3 linked regions of the Drosophila melanogaster genome follow. The protein of the gene in region 3 interacts with the protein of the main gene of each other region in a biochemical or structural test. Each region holds a gene or a part of one and is shown on either strand. Other genes may lie near its edges. The genes, in order: Bin1, Sin3A and bcd.

Evidence for each region.
Region 1: the proteins of bcd (region 3) and Bin1 form a complex in vitro, tested with the Drosophila melanogaster proteins (one study listed by BioGRID).
Region 2: the proteins of bcd (region 3) and Sin3A form a complex in vitro, tested with the Drosophila melanogaster proteins (one study listed by BioGRID).

Annotation. Positions count from the first base shown.
Region 1 is NT_033777.3:16,184,988-16,191,499, forward strand, and holds Bin1 (bicoid interacting protein 1), read right to left. Parts: upstream 4,578-6,512; 5' UTR 4,216-4,577; exon of another isoform or gene 2,120-4,215; 5' UTR 1,791-2,119; coding exon 1,725-1,790; intron 1,652-1,724; coding exon 1,265-1,651; 3' UTR 1,169-1,264; downstream 1-1,168. Other genes in the region: CG8927 (uncharacterized protein), read left to right, coding at 1-839, 902-1,127. UniProt on the Drosophila melanogaster protein: Involved in the tethering of the SIN3 complex to core histone proteins. Interacts with bicoid (bcd) to repress transcription of bicoid target genes in the anterior tip of the embryo; a process known as retraction.
Region 2 is NT_033778.4:12,585,338-12,590,741, forward strand, and holds the start of Sin3A (Sin3A), read right to left. Parts: upstream 3,816-5,404; 5' UTR 3,379-3,815; intron 736-3,378; 5' UTR 375-735; coding exon 1-374.
Region 3 is NT_033777.3:6,754,719-6,761,520, forward strand, and holds bcd (bicoid), read right to left. Parts: upstream 4,749-6,802; 5' UTR 4,554-4,748; coding exon 4,389-4,553; intron 3,852-4,388; exon of another isoform or gene 3,830-3,851; coding exon 3,754-3,829; intron 3,714-3,753; coding exon 2,755-3,713; intron 2,243-2,754; coding exon 1,958-2,242; 3' UTR 1,124-1,957; downstream 1-1,123. UniProt on the Drosophila melanogaster protein: Segment polarity transcription factor that provides positional cues for the development of head and thoracic segments.

The sequences.
Region 1 (6,512 bases), 9.4 Mb from region 3:
GCCCAAAACTATCCCCCGCGTCTGAGCATTCCCGGAGCGGTAGCATCACCTGGTCAAGTGCCCCACCGACAGCCTGTGTTGAGAGTACGCCGTCCAGGAGCCTCATTGCGCCAGCAGAATACCATACTTCCAGCGGTGACGCAGCGCATCGCCATTGAGGAACCGCGTCCTGTGACGGAATCAGCGGAGGATGAGCAGCCGGAGCCATATCTGCCGAACCTTCTGCGGGAACAGCAGTTGGCTCAGGCCCAACAATCACAGTTCCAGCAGGCAGCAGCCGCCTTCCTGGCCGGCCAACAACCCGTTGAACAACCCTCGCCGGTGCAGCAGTTCCTTCAGTCCGATGACTCACAGCCGGCTGCCATCCTGCCTCCTCCTTCCTCGCGCTTCCCCGCTGAACGGCCATCTATTCCGACGCCCCTGAACCGTCCCGCCGCCTTCAATGATTTTGGCATTGGTCGGTTTGAGAACTCGCAGAGATTCGGATTGGAGCGACCTACGCCCACTGCAGCAGCGCCACCACCACCGCAACAACAGCCCCAGCGGGTGGCTGTGATCCGAACAAGACCAGCGTCTTCCGCTGCCCTACGACCTGAATCACCACCACCACAGCCTATGGCCAGGCCACGCCCTAAGCCTGTCCAGCCGCGTCCCATCATTGATCAAAATCAGCTACAGGACGATCACGTTGACCAGCAGCAGCAGCGTCGCCGTCAGCCCGTTTCCCAGACCATTCGCAAGTGGCGTGAGGAAAACGAGGACGGAAGCATCACATGGGGCTATGAGAACGACGACGGATCTTTCAAGGAGGAGCTGATCGGCACCGATTGCATCACCAAGTGAGTAAAACAGATTGAATCCAACCTCTTTCTCCCACTTACCCAAACTTCTCGTTCACCAGGGGAACCTATGGCTACGTTGATCCAGATGGCAACAAACGTGAGTACCACTATGAGACTGGAATCAAGTGCGATCCTAACAACCGCAACAACGAGGAAGAGCTACAAGAGAACGGGTTCGTCAACTACGAAGAGAATCGCGCCGTGCTGCCCAATGGTCTGGAGATCGACATGACGCAGTTGGGCAAGAAGAAGTCGAAGCGCCCGAACGGCTTTTACAGGAACTGATACTCCCCACAACATATAGTCCCTTAAGTCAAGCAGCTCGTAGTTCGTCTTACTTGTATTCCACTTATAATTATGTTCATACTCCATTGAGTGTCAAGTGAAAGATTAAAATGATTAGAATAGATGAAAGTGAAGAATCAGTACGGACGCTGGCGCCTGGCGGTTGGCGGCAGTCGGTTGGGCGGAGTAATCGAGATGTCCAGAAAGTCTCCAATGCTGAATTTGGCCTGAGCAAGTGTCTTATTATCATCGATTCCTTTTTGACCCGTGCAGGTCACTCCGATTTCGCGCATCTGGAAGTGATTACTCCGGAAGTTGGGGTACACGACAGCAAAGTCAAAGTAGGTGCCCTTCTTCCGGGTGTCCGGATTGACGTCTCGCACCAGAGAGGTCAGTTCGTGCAGGGTGGCGTCTTGCCAGGTGTAAATCTGAAGCTCGTTGGTGGGCACGTTGCCGAACATATACTCCGACACGGAGTGGTGTCGTCCCGTAGAGCAGAAGACACGGAGCAGCATAGGACAGGTCTGGAAAATACATAAACTTATTAACACATCTAGAGCAAACGCGAAGTAAACATGACCGGGGTCACAAACAAACCTTCTCGCGGTCAATCTGCTTGACCTGCGTCTTTTCCTCCACAATCATAGATTCCACGTTGGCCATGTCTCCCTATTCTGCGGTATATCGTTACTAATTTTCTTAATTTTAATACAAAATGCACTTTTAATGCCGTATATTCCGGCTTCTCTTTGCTCTTTTCGATAACTATATAATCGAATGCAGCAATCCTATCGCACATCGCCGAGTGTGACCGCTTGTCGCATACTTATCGGGTTTTAGTTTAATCGATGTTTCCAGAAGCACCAAAATTCGCCGTTTCTCAGCTCTAGTCCGAAAACAAAATTCGCTGTGAGCGGTTGTGTCGTCGAACGTGAAACTACGCGTCTCCGCGAATGACGCAGACTGGAAGCTTCCACTGGCATGACAATCGTCTAAAAACATTCAACAATAGCGGTGCACTTGCAAATTACTGTTGCCGCAACAACAATAACAACTGCTTCGCTAAGCAGTAGCTGCGACCACAACAACAAGGAGGAGAGCAACAACAACGGTGGAGAAGAGCCGTTTGTTATTGGCGCATAAAAGCAGAATCGCAATTTGGCCACTGAATAGTTTCTAAAAACGGTGAGTACATTGTGGCAGCGGTCCATTTGCATACCGAATTGAGATTTGCACTTTTTGCAAGAGTTTCTTATGTAACGGCAACAGCAGCAGCAGCAGCAGCTGAGTTTTACGTGCAAATTGTTGCCGTTGCTTTGCTTGTGTTGGTGCCGCAGCGTCTGCGAAAAGTCACCCTCTTTGCAACCACCCTTCACCCCCCCTCATATTTCATTTATGCATCGCTCTCTCGCTCGATTTGTTTATAAACATTCAGGAATAAGCCGCTGCTAAATACTGAACTGTTTTTATCTCAAGAAGTACAAGGTTATCCCATCCCCAGCCACCCACTTTCGATCTCCTCATTTTTATGCATGCGCCATCATTTGCCGATAATAGTGCCATTCTGTTTGTTGTTCTAAATGTTCTAGTTATTGCAGTAGCGTGGAAGGTGTGGTCATATGGTGGTTTCTATTGTGTCAACAAGGAATCAGTTTCCCAAAAGCTGCATATTTGTTTTTATTTTTAGTCAAATACCAAGAAATAAGTCAATCCAGACATTTGATATTTTTAGAAACGGAATAAACCCCGTTTAAGTGCACAGAAACAGAATCTGTGATTACCCTGGTAAAAGAAAAACACTAGAAGGGGAAAATACCCCACTTGAATTAACCCCCTGCTAAAGGGTATTTTCGCTTCGGCGTGTCTGAATATTTTTAGTTGGCTCGTGTTTTAAAGTCCTCGAATCCACTCCCACCTCGTTGATCCTGCAGCAGCTGTTTTTGCCACAGTTCCTGCTGCTCTTGCGTGGGAGCAGAATGTTTGTTGTTCCTGCTGTTGTTATTGAATCCCCCCTCCCCCCCCTTCGTCCTTGGCCATTGTTCTGTGGACTCGTTTTGGCCGGAGCGGAGGGGTTGCAGCCGTGACCGTGACTGACTGCCCGTAACCCCAGCAACGACCACATAGTGGACGATGTTATTGTTATCGCATACTTTGGTAACCAGTGCACTGTGGTCGGGATGACCAATATGAAGTAAGACGCATTAAAGCTGTTTCTTTAGTCACTTTAAAAAATGAAAAATTTATAAAGATAATACTCAGCAATACTTCTGCGACAAATTCACATTCGTAAATTATTCAAATTTGACAAAACAACGGAATGTTTAAAAACTTTATAGTCTTTTTAAGTTAGAATAAGTCTTAAGTTCTAGAAAGACCCCACGAAGTTGAAGAAAATGTACTTTAAGTGAAGTAAGTCTTCAGTGGCTTCAGTGGAATCGTATGTACTCGAATCGGAAGGTGGGTAAAGATGTGAACAATAAAGTAATATGTTTTTCGAAATTAAATTCCGCCCACTGTCCGTGTTCGTTGCTGCGGCTGCTGGCTGAATTTTAAACGTGCCAAGTCCTTGGTTGTAAACTGAAGACGTGCGGTGTGGGGCGATTTGTTGCCACTGTTGCGGTCGCTTTGTTGCTGCCGCCTTACTTCGTTTTCGTTATTTTTTCTCAAATATTAATTGCTTTGAGCAACAGTAGAAGCCCTTGGCTACTGCTCCAAACCCAATCACTTCGAATTTCCGAAAATTCCCCAAGCAGCAGCACAACGAGTTTGGAAAAGTGGCAAGGCGAAGCAGACGTAACCGAAAGCAATAAATTCACAAATGCAAATAAAATGCGAGCTTTGCTTCAACTCCTGTTCTGTATACATATGTATTTGATTCTATTTTTTACCCGGCCAGTTGACAGGGGCGTGTGCGTGGGCGTTTCTACTGCCAGCCGCACAACACAATGTCCTGGGTGTAAGTCTCGACCTTGGCTTTGCATAGCGACCTTTCGCCAATGCCACAATATATCCCCATTCCTACCCATATCCCTATTCCCCGAATGCCCAGTGGTGCCCACTTGTTTGTAGCGAGGACAGATTTACTTGCCATTTCCAATCCGGGGAATCCATTTCGCAGCCAGCTGTTCAGACTTTCAGATAAAGTGCACGCTTAAGAGAATCATGACAAATTAATGCTTGTGAATGAAGTGGCAAATCATCGTTTCATGGCCAAAAAGGTCGTATTCGAAGAAGATCTAGAATTAGATATTGGAAAGAACCTGCAGCAGATGGCTCATATTAGAAATATCTAAGAAATGTGGCTGGTTATTAACGTATAATTCCATTAGGGTCTTGAGCACTATTGTATATGTCGGCGAAACAGGAGTCTCATCCATATTATTTATTCACTTCGCGATTTTGTACGTCAGCGCAGCAAGTTCCGATCGACGTCAGCAGTCAAACTTCACTGAAGGGATCTTCTTACATGTCCCTTCTTCATCATATTCTCTAATGGCTATACACACTGGCGTGTGCCACATTGTCATCTCTCTCTAACACACTATTTATGACCACTCGATCGGACCTCACTCAGCTGCAGAGGCTGTTCGTGCCTCTGCCGCAGCGCTCGACAGAATTTTACCGCAATATTACAATTTCATCAGAATATGAAATCACAGAAGGAATTTCTGGAATGCGAAGAGTCGCGCTCCGACATATACAATCATGCTGATAATAACATTGATTTTATTGCACATTTAATTGCCTTACATTGTATTACACTTTCTAGCAGTATTCAAGATTATCTCCTATTATTTATAGCAATTTGTTAGTTGTTACTCATGCATAATGGCGACTTAATATTATATTTTAAAATTGTTTTTTTCTTATGTTAATCTGGATTACCACCCCACTTCGTGATTAATTCTGAGCGGAGAACAAAAACACTCTGATAAATTAAGTTGTAAACAACTACTTTCGAAAAGCAATTAAAAAATTTATTTACAGTATTTCACGATAAGGCGAATAACAAAACCATTAACTTGTTAATGTGCCGGTACAAACTATTTCCTCTAAAATGTTATCAGTTATCTGATTACGGGTTGATGTGATTGATTCCAAATATAAGTTGTTAAAGATTGAGTTATTTTAAGAATACCCGCTGATAACATTTCCTTTTGTGAAATTTATTGAACGGTCGTTCAATAAAGAATTGCCGAGAGCATTCTGATTACCATTCTGCTGCAAAAAACACTCGAAAACAACCCGTCTTTAAGAGACTGCAAAAGGCCAAGGAAAGATCACTCGTCTGTGCCTTTGATTGCGAACGACCACTGAATCGATGGGAGAAAGATATGGGAGTGCGTATATGTGGCCAGAAAATTATGTATACGCAGCGTTTCCTCATTGAGAGGCGCTGCTGACGCAAAATAAATGAAACGATTTTAAAATAAAAGCAACTCATAATTTTTGCCCCTACGATTGGTGCCTGTGTTGTCGCGTCTGTTGTCCATTTTATGCTATTTCTGTTTGCGTTCGCTTTTGTTTTGTTTTCCATCTTCTTGCCTTTTTGCCAGGGTTTTGCCAATTGATGAATTGAATACGTACAGACCGCTGCCGTCGGCTCTTTCGTCAATTGGCTTGACTGGATCTAGCTGCAGTTTGCACTGACGTCACGTCCCAAAAGCAAAAGTGCCCCTAACTCACTTAACACATCGGCCTGATTGGCAGCGACGTCGATTCCATTCGACTGTATATGCGCGCATACGTATGTTCTGCTTGACTTGAGGTATACTTGAGTTGTAAATGTCTCAATTAACCATAGTAACAATAGCCAAATGTTATCTATGGAGTCTAAATACGTCCATTTGGTGCGTCAGTGGGGACTGTCGTCGCGATAAGAAGCGAATCGAGGGAACTACCGTGGCCATGATTTACGATAACCAGCGGGTTTCAACCGGTTGAACTCAACATTGAACTGCTGATAACACTTGCTTAAAAGCGATTTATTGGAATATTTGCTGAACAGGATTTTAATTCCTTCCTTGCTTGGAAGCAAGAACCACTGTAAACTTTTGGTAATCTCTTCATCCTACCCAAATCACCGAATTTCGGCAGCACATGTCGGCGATGGCGGCTCCTAATAGAAATCGCTTTTGCATAGCCAAGTTGGCCCAAACTATTTTCATGTCAAAGCGCTGACAAGACGGGCGCACACAGAAACCTACAGATACACAGATACATTTGCACTTGGAGCCGCACAGTTGCGAGTGACAGTCGACAACAAAGGGGCTGGTCGAATCAGTTTGAGTCTGAGGCAAGTGAAAACTCCTCGGAATCGCCCAAGGACTTTGAGTGATAACAATCCAATTTGTAAAAGTAGTGGGCGGGGATGGATGAGCTGTT
Region 2 (5,404 bases), on a different chromosome or scaffold from region 3:
ACGGCCACCTGTGCTCCTGCTCCTACTGGTCCTCCAGCGGTAGTGCTATCCACAATCGAGGTTGTGGTCTTCAAATTCGTAGCCGTCGGCGTGGTGGACGGCAAATAGGCAATGGTTTGTGCTCCTCCATGCTGTGGAGTAAGGATGCGATGGTGAATGGAACCGATCCCGCTGATGGTGGCGTTATGAGCACTGGGCACGACGGTACCAATGGTAACGCCCGTCGTATTGACGCCCACAGTAGCAGTGCCACCGCCGCCGGATGTTGGCCCACCTCCAGTTACGCCGACGACACCAACGCCCACACCTCCGGAGGTCTGAGGAACGGGTCGTGTGCCAAATTGCACCTCGTCTACGCGAGTGCGTTTCATCATCTTTTTTGTTGCTCTGTCCTCGGCGGAGCGTATAATCCTGTGCTGCTGCTTCTTCTTTCTAAGCACTTTGTTGCTCCCTGGATCCCTGCCCAAGTGCAAGGACTCTGGCTGCTCTAGGTGAGTGGCCGCCCTCTATGAGCGTATGTAATATGCAACAAACGGTCGGGGTCGCAACTCTTGATCTTGGACTGCTCGTGAATGCGACATATGTTGTCTATGCATTTGGTCGCCCCGCAAGCGGCAAATGCGCTCGAGTTCTAAGGTAGAGAAATTGGACTGACGGCTGGTTATCTGCTGCTGGTGTTGCTGCGCCGGTGATTCGCCTCTGCCACGTAGCGTTTGGAGTTCTTTCTGAATATCACTGCAAGCAAAGCAAGAGAAGGGAAACGGTCATACAATAATGTCGACATTAAATGTATAAAAACCCCCAAGAATTAGGTTTGGGTCTATTTTTAATGAAGTTAGTCATCATTAAATTCTGCATTACTGGAACAATCTTACACATTAATACTAGAATTTATTCACTGACACTGAAATGAAAGGACAAATATGCCAAATATACTTTTCCATATATTAAAGACCACGAGTCTTGCTAATTTTCCCAAAACATGTTAGCTAGTATAGCACAGCTGATTGATCAATTCGGTCTATATCTTCACAGATATCGGAACGATTGCATATTTCAACAAGAAAAAAGGTGAACTAAAAAGCCACGGGGGAATTCTTCTTTTAGCCGTATCACAAAAACTACAGAGTGGAGAACGGTGTCTCTGTATTGGGTGTTCTGGATTCGGGGGAGAAGAGTGAGATGAGGGACAATAGGAATGGAATGAAGCAGTGGAGCTGTGACCAATAACAACAACAGCAACCAGAGATTGATACATATAGACGGGAAGGAGATCGTGGAGTGGAAGTTGAGTCTTGGAGGAGAGTGAGTGCAAGGCATAAGGAGGAGCGCGTAATTCACTTTAGTGTGTGTACGTTCAACCGGAATTGGGCGCGCGCTTTGTTATTGCTTTCAGCGGTACAGTAAAAACTTCCTAAGCGAGCTTTCTGTGTACACCTCCGAGTGTGTGTGTATGTGTGTACATATCAGTATTTGTGAATGTGGAAGGTGCCAAATGCCCCATGCACGACATCGGCTTGCATAGAATTCAGACGCACACATAGAAAATATTTATATATCGATACCGCCAAGGGGGCGGGCGGGTGGTGTGTGAGAGCTGCTGGTACATGTTCTGTATCTACAACTTACAAGAATAAGAAGAAGAAGAGTCAGAGGTAACAGCAGCAGCAAACGCAACAATGCAAAGGTGGTGGTGGCGATACGGTGGTGGTGGTGCAGCCACAGAGAGAACCAGAGAGAGCCGCATTTGTTGTTGAGGCGCAGTATATGGATGATTTTTTTTTTTTCAAAAAGGTATTTCACCCGTTTGGGGCCAAACTCACACACGGACACAGCAAGCATTTGGCGGGCATTCGAGAGAGAGAGCGGCAAAAATGAAGAGAGCGCAACGCTGCGCAAACCAAAGACCGCGAGCAAATATTAGGTGAATGGAAACCGCCTAGAGGATCATCCTGCTCCAACTAATTGAAACACCCCATCGAACCAACAGCTGCCCCCTTTTAGCATTTGTAAACAAATATTGGAGCACAGTACAGCCGCACAAAAGCTTTAGCCCTCGTTCTCTCTCCTGTCTCTGCCACCACCAACTATCCTTTAATAAATGAAGGTAAAACAAGTTCGCTCTTTTGAGCTCTCCCAACTGTCTTTGTTGTTATTGTATTTTTGGATCCGCCATTAGTGCATACCAAACACATTTACTCGCTTGCTGGTGTGTGTGAGTGTTTGACGAGAGAGGCTCCAAATTGGGGCGTTGTGTGCGTGTGTGTGCTTTGGGGAGACATGTGGGCAAATTTTCCCTCCATTTTTTCTTTTTTTTTTTTTTTGATTCAGCCCGCTCTATTACGTGCACACGTATAATGTTATCTTATCTGTTTTGTTATGTGTATACACAGCACAGCAGAATACGCAACACAAAAGGCAGCCAGCGGAAAATATGTTAAATTTTTTGCAAATATCACTAGCACTCGGTTTTGAACAACTGCAATACGAATCGGAATCAACGCGAATTAATATTTAGTTTTTTACTGTTACTTTCTCACTCTGGCGCACTAACACAGCCGCGGAGTGGCGCTGCGCTATTAATAAATTTTGCAAATAAAACATATGGATGTGTAGAGAAATATGTACAATATATTCACATACATATATACTATTTCAGCATGAAGAAGCAACGGCAAACGTTTTGTGTAAATTCAAAACCGAATGAAAAAAAACAGGCGGAGCAAGAACAACAAACGACGGATGGGCTGGGGAGCATGAAGAAGAGGAGCAAAAGGAAGATCTGAACAAAAAGAGGGCCACAAAATGATGCTCTCATTGGGGAGCCATTTAAATGCACACTCACACTAGGCTGCTCTCGCCAGTACATGCGAATGGCGCATCAAAGCAAAAGTCAAGATAAGCGCACGAACTGAGCAAAGAACGAATCAACAACGAAAATAAAACGACACTACGTTGAAAAAATACAGTCAGTTCATAAGCGAACCAAAAGCAATGGTTCAAAGCGTATGTATGAGTGTGGCTCTCCTCTCCACAACTGTGTTCAACTGTGTGTGAGGAGAGCAGAAACTGTAGAGGCAGCAGCAGCAGCAACACAAACAACAACCACGTCCCCGTCGACGACTTTTTGTCTGTGCGCCTTCTATATGTATTCGCTATGCCATTGTTGTTTGTGTGTGTGTGAGTTTGTGCGTGCGTGTGTATATAAACCAATTGAAATTGACCTAACCTAAAAATGTTGTATTTTCACAAGTTTTCAGTGGCACGAACGAAAATATTGTTTGAACTCGAATCCGCACTCCAAGTGCACTTGAAGGATAATGCTACTCTGCAATTTTCACGCCCCCCACAACCGCCCACCGCCCATATTACACTTACATCAGCAATAAGCAGTTAGCTTCGTCGGTTGATATTCGGCTGTGTGTATGTATATTCGAAATGTATGTATATATGTACGGGGCGCGTATGTATATTTACTACAAAACTGCCGTTGGTTTTGTGGTGTTATTGGAAACTTTCACGTTTTACGCAGTATTTTGCACATGCAACTACTATATTCGCACTCACTGGCACACCGAAATCTTTATTTTCACCGTTTTCTTTTCTTTCAGTAGCTGGGGCTTCGTTCTCCAGTTCAGTTTAAGTTTAACGCTTATTTCAATCAATTTGCACTTGGCTCTAAGACCTTAACTAGATCACACGGCTCGAATTTAAGACATTTTCTTCTCGATAGATTGCTACTGCTATTCTATTCACAAATTTTTGGCGAGAGAACGTTTTCGTACATCTCAACGCCGCCGCAAACATTTTCGATTAAAACAGCGAAACGCGACGGCCAGTCATTTGGAGTCAGCAGAGAGAGCGAAATGAGTGTAAAACGGAGAGCGTGAGAGCGCGCGCGCAGTGTTGCTTTGGAATTCATTTTATTCTGCTGCCGCAGCTAAAACAGGGTGGCAACTCAACGGCGCAACAACTAAAATCCTCCGTCGAGCGCGTTGAAAACACATCAGTAGCTGACGGCAAAAATAGTTTATATACCATTCATTACCTATTAGCAAATAATCACAATCAGTGGTTATTTTTATTAGCGGTGAGCGGTACCGCATGCAAATAGTCGCAAAATGGCGCTTAGAATTTGGATAAGAAACGAAATACGTGAGGCTTACGTAAGTGCGAGGACCAACAACAACGCTGGGAAGAGAGAAAACAAGTTGTTTAGAAAACAGGGTGTACCATTGTCACCCAGCCATGTGGTGGAAACGATGATCAGAACATCTGGGTAAGACACCCTGTTTGAGCCAAAGAGAGAGAGCGGGTGTGAGAGCAGCGCACCCACACAAGCGCAACGAGTATACAGCAGATAGCGACGTCGGCAGAGCGTTTTAGCCGACCATTGCAGTACATATGTGAAATCGACGAAACCGAAAATCAGAAACCAAACGGACCACTAGCGAGCTACAACTCTGCCACGGCTACACTTTACACACTCATGTACTCCTCCACCACCTCACTCGCCAGCGCACTCACACACAGACGCGTGCGTGCGGAGAGAGGAAGTAAAAATATGAAGACAAAAAAAAGCAAGTGCATCTCACCATGACAATGGCGGAACCATAAAAACACATGTTCCCATCTCGAATCGAACTGAATTCGGCGGCCAGCTCCTTCACAAAATAAAATAATACAGACAAAAAATCTGTATACGCGCAAAAGTTGAGCTGCTAAAACATGGAAACCTTGCAGTTATCGATTCGTCTCGCTCATTGCGCAATGAAAAAAATGCAGCGGGGGCGGAGGATACGAGAGAGCCTCTCTCTTTGTGAGACACCTGCAGCGATAGGAAATGCAAATCCGCCTTCCACTTTCCAGCTCGAAAGTTCAAAGTTCACATGCAACTAACTAGCTACTGGGTGCAGCGCATGTCCGAGGTGCACCAAAGTCCCTGGACCAAACAAAAAAATGGCACAAACCAAACTCTCCGACTTCCAGGCGCCGCAGGAAGGTTTGTTTGCCCTCCCATTGGGTATTATTGATGCTTTTTTCTATTGATAATAAAGCCAGGTGGTCTAGCATGTTCTAATTATTCCTGTGCTAATTTCAGATCTGTCATGGAATGCGGCACTAGGAAATATTAACTGACGCTGATCAAGTGATATCTGAAATGTGGTAAAGAGGTTCCTGTCACACGGACCCATTTCTATAAAAAAAACTAATTAGTTTGATATTCGTACGTGTTCTGCAAATTATCAGATGTTTTTAACTCTCTTGAGTCACATGATATTTAATGTGATAAAAACTTTTTGTTATTTATTGTTTGTTTGTCCTAAAAAATTGACAACACAGTAAATGGAAAACTTTACTATAAAATATTTAACTTTAGTATTAATTCTCATCAAAACTATAA
Region 3 (6,802 bases):
CAAGGAGTATATGCTCAAGTCTCCGACGCGGCGAATGCGAATCTGTCTCGGGTCTCCGGTCCATAGGCCTTCCCATCCTCAGTCCTCGAACTAGGGAATTGTTCGCAAATTTTATTACTGGCGCTATCGGATTTTCTCCTTCCGAGAATTCGCTAAAAATACGTTGGAACAAAGGAAAAGTCATAACAGGATAACCGTGTGGAAATGTCGCGGCGAGAGTGAGGTACAGTTGAAAATATCTTTACTTAGGTTATATATGAAAATTAACATTTTCGAAATAATATTTTTAGAATTGTCGAAAAGATTCATTTAAAAACATAATTAAAACATGATCTTTTGAAAAGAAGTGCTAAAACTCTTAATTAACTTGTTTAAGTCTTAAGTTAATATCGCAACCATGTTAATGGGTCACTGTGCACAATTGTGAAAAGTATTTACAATAAAAACCTGAACCAAATTAAAAAGCTTTACAATATCAATAAAAAACTAATTTATGAATACTTTGCGATATCTCGCGATATTTGAAAGATGCATAGATGCTATAAATTATCTTCATAAATGGCGGATTAAAAAGTAGTTTATTAATTATAGTAGTTAAACTAGGTGTGATGAAGGGCACAGGAAAACAAGTCTTGTGATAAGTAAGAATGGATTCAGAGCTTGGTTTTCCCAGGACATCCATAATCCACCTACTAAAACGCGCCCAAGATCAATAAAAACTCTATAACTGGGAGAAACCCAATCAATATTCGTTCATATAGGCCCCGTTATTGGACTTCTGGATTTCCCAAAACTTATATCAAAGAAAATAGGGGCAACAAGTTGCCTGGCGGCGCCCCGCGAGTGCTGCCTGTACAGTGTCTACCTAAATAGTGCGACCGCGCGAGGATCAGGCGATAAGAGTATGGGTTTCAGGTAGGTGAATAAACACAGGCAGCTGGTGCAAATGTTTTATGATCCGCGGGTGTTCGCGGAAAAATCGCGAATCATATTTTATGGCAGGCATGTGTGAGTATGTGCAATAAAGTGCATTTTTAAATTCATAAGATTTTCGGGAAAACCAGATACTGTTTTCGTTCATTCTAGAAAGGGACGGAAATATGGGCTAAGTATGTAGTTATGTGTAGTTAGTCACAATTTACCCGAGTAGAGTAGTTCTTATATATTTTCGTAATTAAAAATACAAAGCTTAAAGAGACAACATCAAAGGTGCAGCATTTTAAAATTAAACTTGAGGCCTAACAGATTGCAATGCTCTTCTTAGTGATGTAAATAGAATGTGAGCTATGATAGTTATTCCGTTTGGCAGCAAAAAATCTCCGAATCTGAAACAAATGGTCTGCATTGATTGAAAATACAATTTGCTGACTATTCTTGGTCAAAGAATGCGCAAATGTTTGATTATGTCAGACACTTTGGCATAGCATAGAAATTGAAAATATCATATCAAATATTATTGTTTAAATGTTCGATCTTTAAGGGTAATCATTGTATGAGATTACGCCCAAGAGAAACATTTTTCATTTTGATTAGTACAGTTTTTAGCTATGTCAAATTGTAACAGAGAAGATTTTCTTGCTGGCTCGGAATATAATTTCCGAAATGTGGGACGATAACTTTCCATGGAATACGCTTAAGCCCAAATGGCCTCAAATGTAACTGGTTGCATATTCCCGGGCTTTAGTGGAGCAGCCACCCAGATACATCTAAGGCGAATAGCGTATTGCAGGGAAAGTATAGAGTTAACTGGAGTATCACTAAGATATGCACTGGAATCCGTGCGGCCTGCTGACTAGGCTAGTACATAAAACTTCCCTGGGAACCATTTACACGGATCTTAGGACTAGACCTAACTTTCTACGCGTAGATATCTACAATCACTTGGTATTTGTACAATCAGGAACAACAGTGGTTAACCTAAAGCTAATGAAACTCTCTAACACGCCTCTCATCCAGGCTAATTGAAGCAGTAGGCAAACTGCGAGTTGCCCGCGGCGTTCCGATGGGGATTATACGCTTGCATTATCGTATCCATCGTGCATTGATATTGGTTCGATTCGCCCATGGCCACGCCCCCCATTCCGAGGGGCGGCTGAGGGCCTTGTGGGGGCGAAGGCTTGCCAAATTTGGCAAATGCCGCTCCACGATTTCCGGTTCCTGCTAAGGCTCTTATTCCGGTGCTCATGTCGTCGCTACTGCCATCGTCGCAGCTCTTGTCCAGACCCTTCAAAGGCTCCAAGATCTAGGGAGAGAGCGAACGCATTTAGAACATAAATAAATTCGATTGAAATTGCTAAATTATTGTTACAATTTATAGCTAAAAATGTTCATCAGCATATGAGTCTGTTTTCACTTTTAAAATGCATAGATCTTATTTTTCTGGTCAAAGAAATGCTATTTTAACTTGCAGTGTATTAAGAGTGATTACATGAATAAAAAAGTAAAAAACCCTGAAAACTAAGGGCTTTCAAACGGTTGAAATCTTAACCTTTGATACAAATTCTATATTAAAATACATCTTTAACACTTGTACTTCCCTTTCAGAAATGCCATGTCTAATTTAGAAAACAAAAACTTAATAAGTTAAATGTTAAATATTGGAGAACTCCCAAATCTCATCGATCGGAAATAGAAGTACTTTCAGAATAACATCTCAAACCAGACAGTTTGAAAGTTACAAAGCTTAAAGCTTCAATTTATAAACGCCACACTCAGAATCAAGAGATCAAAAAAGGTTGTGGACTCATGCCTGACCTGTAGCGTCGTCTTCTTGCTCGTTCCGTCGTCCATGTCGTCGGCCGCCTCCGTCTCGCCAACGGCGATGGCGCAAGGTCCGCCGATGCCGATGCCACACAGACTCGGACTTTCGTCATTCTTGGGTGTTAATGGCTCGTAGACCTCGGAGCCCGGCGAGGCAGCGCCTCGGGCCACAGCGGATGCCGATGCAGTGGCGCCAGACATTCCCGATCGCATGTAGTACGAGCTGTTGAAGTTGTAGTCGGCCTCCGGTTCGTCCTTGACCAGGACGCGACAGGCGCTGGCTTGCTTTTGCTGGAAGTCAAAGTGATGGTATTGCTGCTGCTGAGCCTGCTGTTGCTGCTGCTGCATCTGGTGCGGCACGTGGTTGCCCTGGTGGTGCAGTTGCTGCTGGTGATTATGGACCTGCTGCTGCTGGAAGAACTGGCCGCCATTGACATTGGTCGACCCAGGTCCTGGCCCCCCTCCGGAAGGATACTGCATGTGCATGTGACGATTGGCCTGGGCGTGATTGTGGCCTCCATTGTAGTTGTAGTAGGCGTTGAATGACTCGCTGTAGTGCTCCGTCATGTGTGCAGTGGGCGTTGAGGGCGTGGGTGACGGAGTCAAAGCGTTGGGCGTGGCTCCTCCACCCAAGCTAAGAGTCTGCAAGCTGGGGGGATCGCCATCGCTCTGTTTCATACCCGGCGAGAGAGGCATCCCCTCGTAGGACTGGTCCTTGTGCTGATCCGATTGGATCTTGTGACGACGCCGACGGTTCTTAAACCATATCTTCACCTGGGCTGTGCCCAGGGCTAGTTTCGCTGACAGATCCGCAAGTCGGGGGGCTGTGAGGTATCGTCCCTGCAGAAAGTGCTGCTCCAGCTCTGCTATTTGAGAGCTGGTAAAAGTGGTGCGGGTGCGACGTGGTCGCCGCATCACCAGAGAGTCGGGCAGCTCCTCTGAGGGAAAGACATCTGATAAGACGATGGCTGACTTTGTTGGCTTTGAGCTCACCTGGCTTGGGCATCTGGTTGGGCAGATACGGACGTATGTAGTTGTAGTTTATCGCTCCCGTTCGCTCATCGAAAAGCTTCAAAGAATCAAGGGGTACACTGTCTTTATATAAAAACGTGAAAGGACGATTCGCTTCGGGGACCGAATCTTGCAATATTACTTTCACTAATCATCATGCAGGACAACAATGCTTGTTTTAGAAAATATGTTGTATGAAGTGTATAAAGTCAATAATGTATACCCAGTGGCCATAGATGTGGCTTTTGAAAAATAGACATTACTGATTGTCGGTGTGAGTGCAACAGGTTTAACATTCGTCCATTTCAATGAAACACCTTTTAGAACATTTCGGCAAATCACTAATAACATGATGCCCCACAATTCATATACAATTATATACTATACTAACTGTAACGATTAATAATATCAATTGGTTTTTAGATTCTGCTACGATACTTTAAAAGTCACAAACAAGATAATAGAAGATTTCGCCCTATGTTCTAGAAACACATTTGCTGCGGCTCAATAAATGTTTATGGTCATCAGTGATCGCACTGGTTGTTTGTTCACCATAGGGAATCTGTACTGTAGCTTTCCTGGGACAAGAGCCCTTCTCTGCTGCGATGGGAACTCACCAAATCGAAGGGATTTCGGAATTGTGGCGGCAACTGAAGCTGCGGATGTTGGTGATGTGGGTGCGGATGCGAGTGCGGATGCGGATGGGAGTGCGGATGCGGATGTGTGTGCGTGTGGGGCAGCGGATGATGGTAAAAGTTTTGATCTGGCGGCGGTTGCGCCATTTTCCCCAAACACTCCGCCGCGTTATCTTTACGAATTTCCAAGCGCCGCGCGGAAAAATGGCAAAGGAGTGTGGAAACTTTCTTGTATTTTCAGTAACCGGTTACTTTCGAGACGCTCGCGAACTTATTTCGCCCACATTTTGCGTTTTTGCGATCCACTGCTTCGCATCTGCAGAGTGCCGTTATTTAGGGATGAGCGAAGAGATGTAGAGATGGCACAATTGGCGGCCCTCCCTCGATGTTCATTCTTTTGAGTAATTTAAAAATCAATAAGCGTCTACAATACATTTTAGACAAATATTTGGACATTTTATTTTTAAATGTTTGCCTCTAATTTAAAAGTTTTTAATCGAACAGTACGGCAAAGCTGCAAACCGATTGAGTGCACAGCGTTTTCACCAGGGGGCGTGAAGAGACAGCAGTAGAGAGCCCCCTGTCGGGCTGTATTGAAAGGTTGTGCTCACTGACAAAAGGTGAATGTTCTAAAACGTCGGAGGTTTATTTATTTGTAGAGATTTGCATTTGAGAATAATAATAAAAAAAAGCTTGAATATTGTAACAAATAAGTAGAACCAATTAAACTTAAACTCTTTGCTCTGTTTGGAACTTCATAATATTAACATTTAATTAACAAACAGGCACCCCAAATTTAGGAATCAATTAGACAAGTGTCGAATGTTTAATTTGAATTTTTGTTAATATTATAATATTAATATGCTCCAGTCCAGTCCAGCCTGAATTGAACAAAATGTGCACTTTGTAGTTTATTCTGTTACATACTTCCGCTATTAATAACTACATTATTCAATCTTAGTATCGCGAGATATATAAGGACTTGGGACAAAGAATAAGGATGGTGGAGATCGAGTTTGTTTTTCCAAATGATCTCAAACGGCTACGTACGAAAGAAAATATCATATAATCGTTTTGTAAGACAGCATATAGTGCTTGCTATATGTACCTGTTAGGCAGTGCATTATAAAATGTATTAGAAGAATAAAAGGTAACCAGTTGTCGAGTTAATTAGCTGTAGCGTTCGATTCTTTTGTTAATTTTTTTTAAGTTGTTCTACTCATTTCTGATGTTAAGCTAGGATTGGCAATTATTATTTTCAGGCTCCATATTTGGAAAATTCGATATGTTTAGCGTTGAAGAATATTGTGTAAATATCTACAAGCATTAAGTTGCTCAGTGCATTGGCCCAAGCTTTAACATTTTAAAACACACCCAACGAGCCAGTTGACCTTTAAGCAAGTGTCGCAAGGCCTTAAGTGAAATATTTTTTAATGACATTTGCCAAATAATTGTCGTGTTTGCTTTTGGGATCTGGCAGGAGCTTGTTGCTGTTGGCCGGGCTTTGCTGCTTCTGCCGCTGCCAACTGGCAACAAAAGTCAATTCACAGACACTCCAGTCGACGGAGTCGGAGTGCAGCCAAAAGGCAAACAAAATACGTTCGCATAGGCAAAGCCCAAGGATACACACAAAGGTACAGTGGTTGCTCTGACTACAAATACAAATTAAACAGGGCCAGAGCTTTAATACCAATTCGATACCATTGCAACAACAGCATTTCAAATGCTACTTTTTTATATCAGATAAAGATAGGTAGAAAAGGCTATATTTACGTTAAAGGCAAGCTGATATTTTAGAAATTTATTCAAAAACAAAATTAATTACTTTGACACATAATATTGTATTTAGTCATCTGACTAGAAACTAGAAATCTCTGAATGTAACGAAGTTCTGTGCATTCTTACAAATATTACAAAAAGTATCTGCTAGATACCACTGTGCGGAACTGGGCCACAAATTCAGACGCAGTGTGTGACAAAGGACTTCTCCCTTCCCCGCTCGGCGACCCTGAATGCTGAATGCCCCCGTGTGTGCCGCTGCTGAAGCGAAACACCCAAAGAGTCACTGACAGAAACAGGATTCGGGTAATAAATTACAAAATTTGACATTTTCTGTTTTGGATCCGCTTGCGCCTGAATGCGAGCGGCAGCCCTCTCTGTCGCACGCCGTCTAGCCGTCTCTTTCGTTCGGTTTCGGTGTGTGTCCAGTTCGGTCGGGCCAAGTCGAGCGTTGCATGAAGCAGCCGGACCTGCCAGGACCTGGACCAGGACCTGAACCTGCATCCAAGAGGCATCGCCGCAATGGTCATAATGACGCTGCCGGGATGCAGCTGAGGACAAGGAGAGCCGTCAGTGGGCAGCGAGAAAGGGACGGAATAGAAGCGCCCTATGCGGTC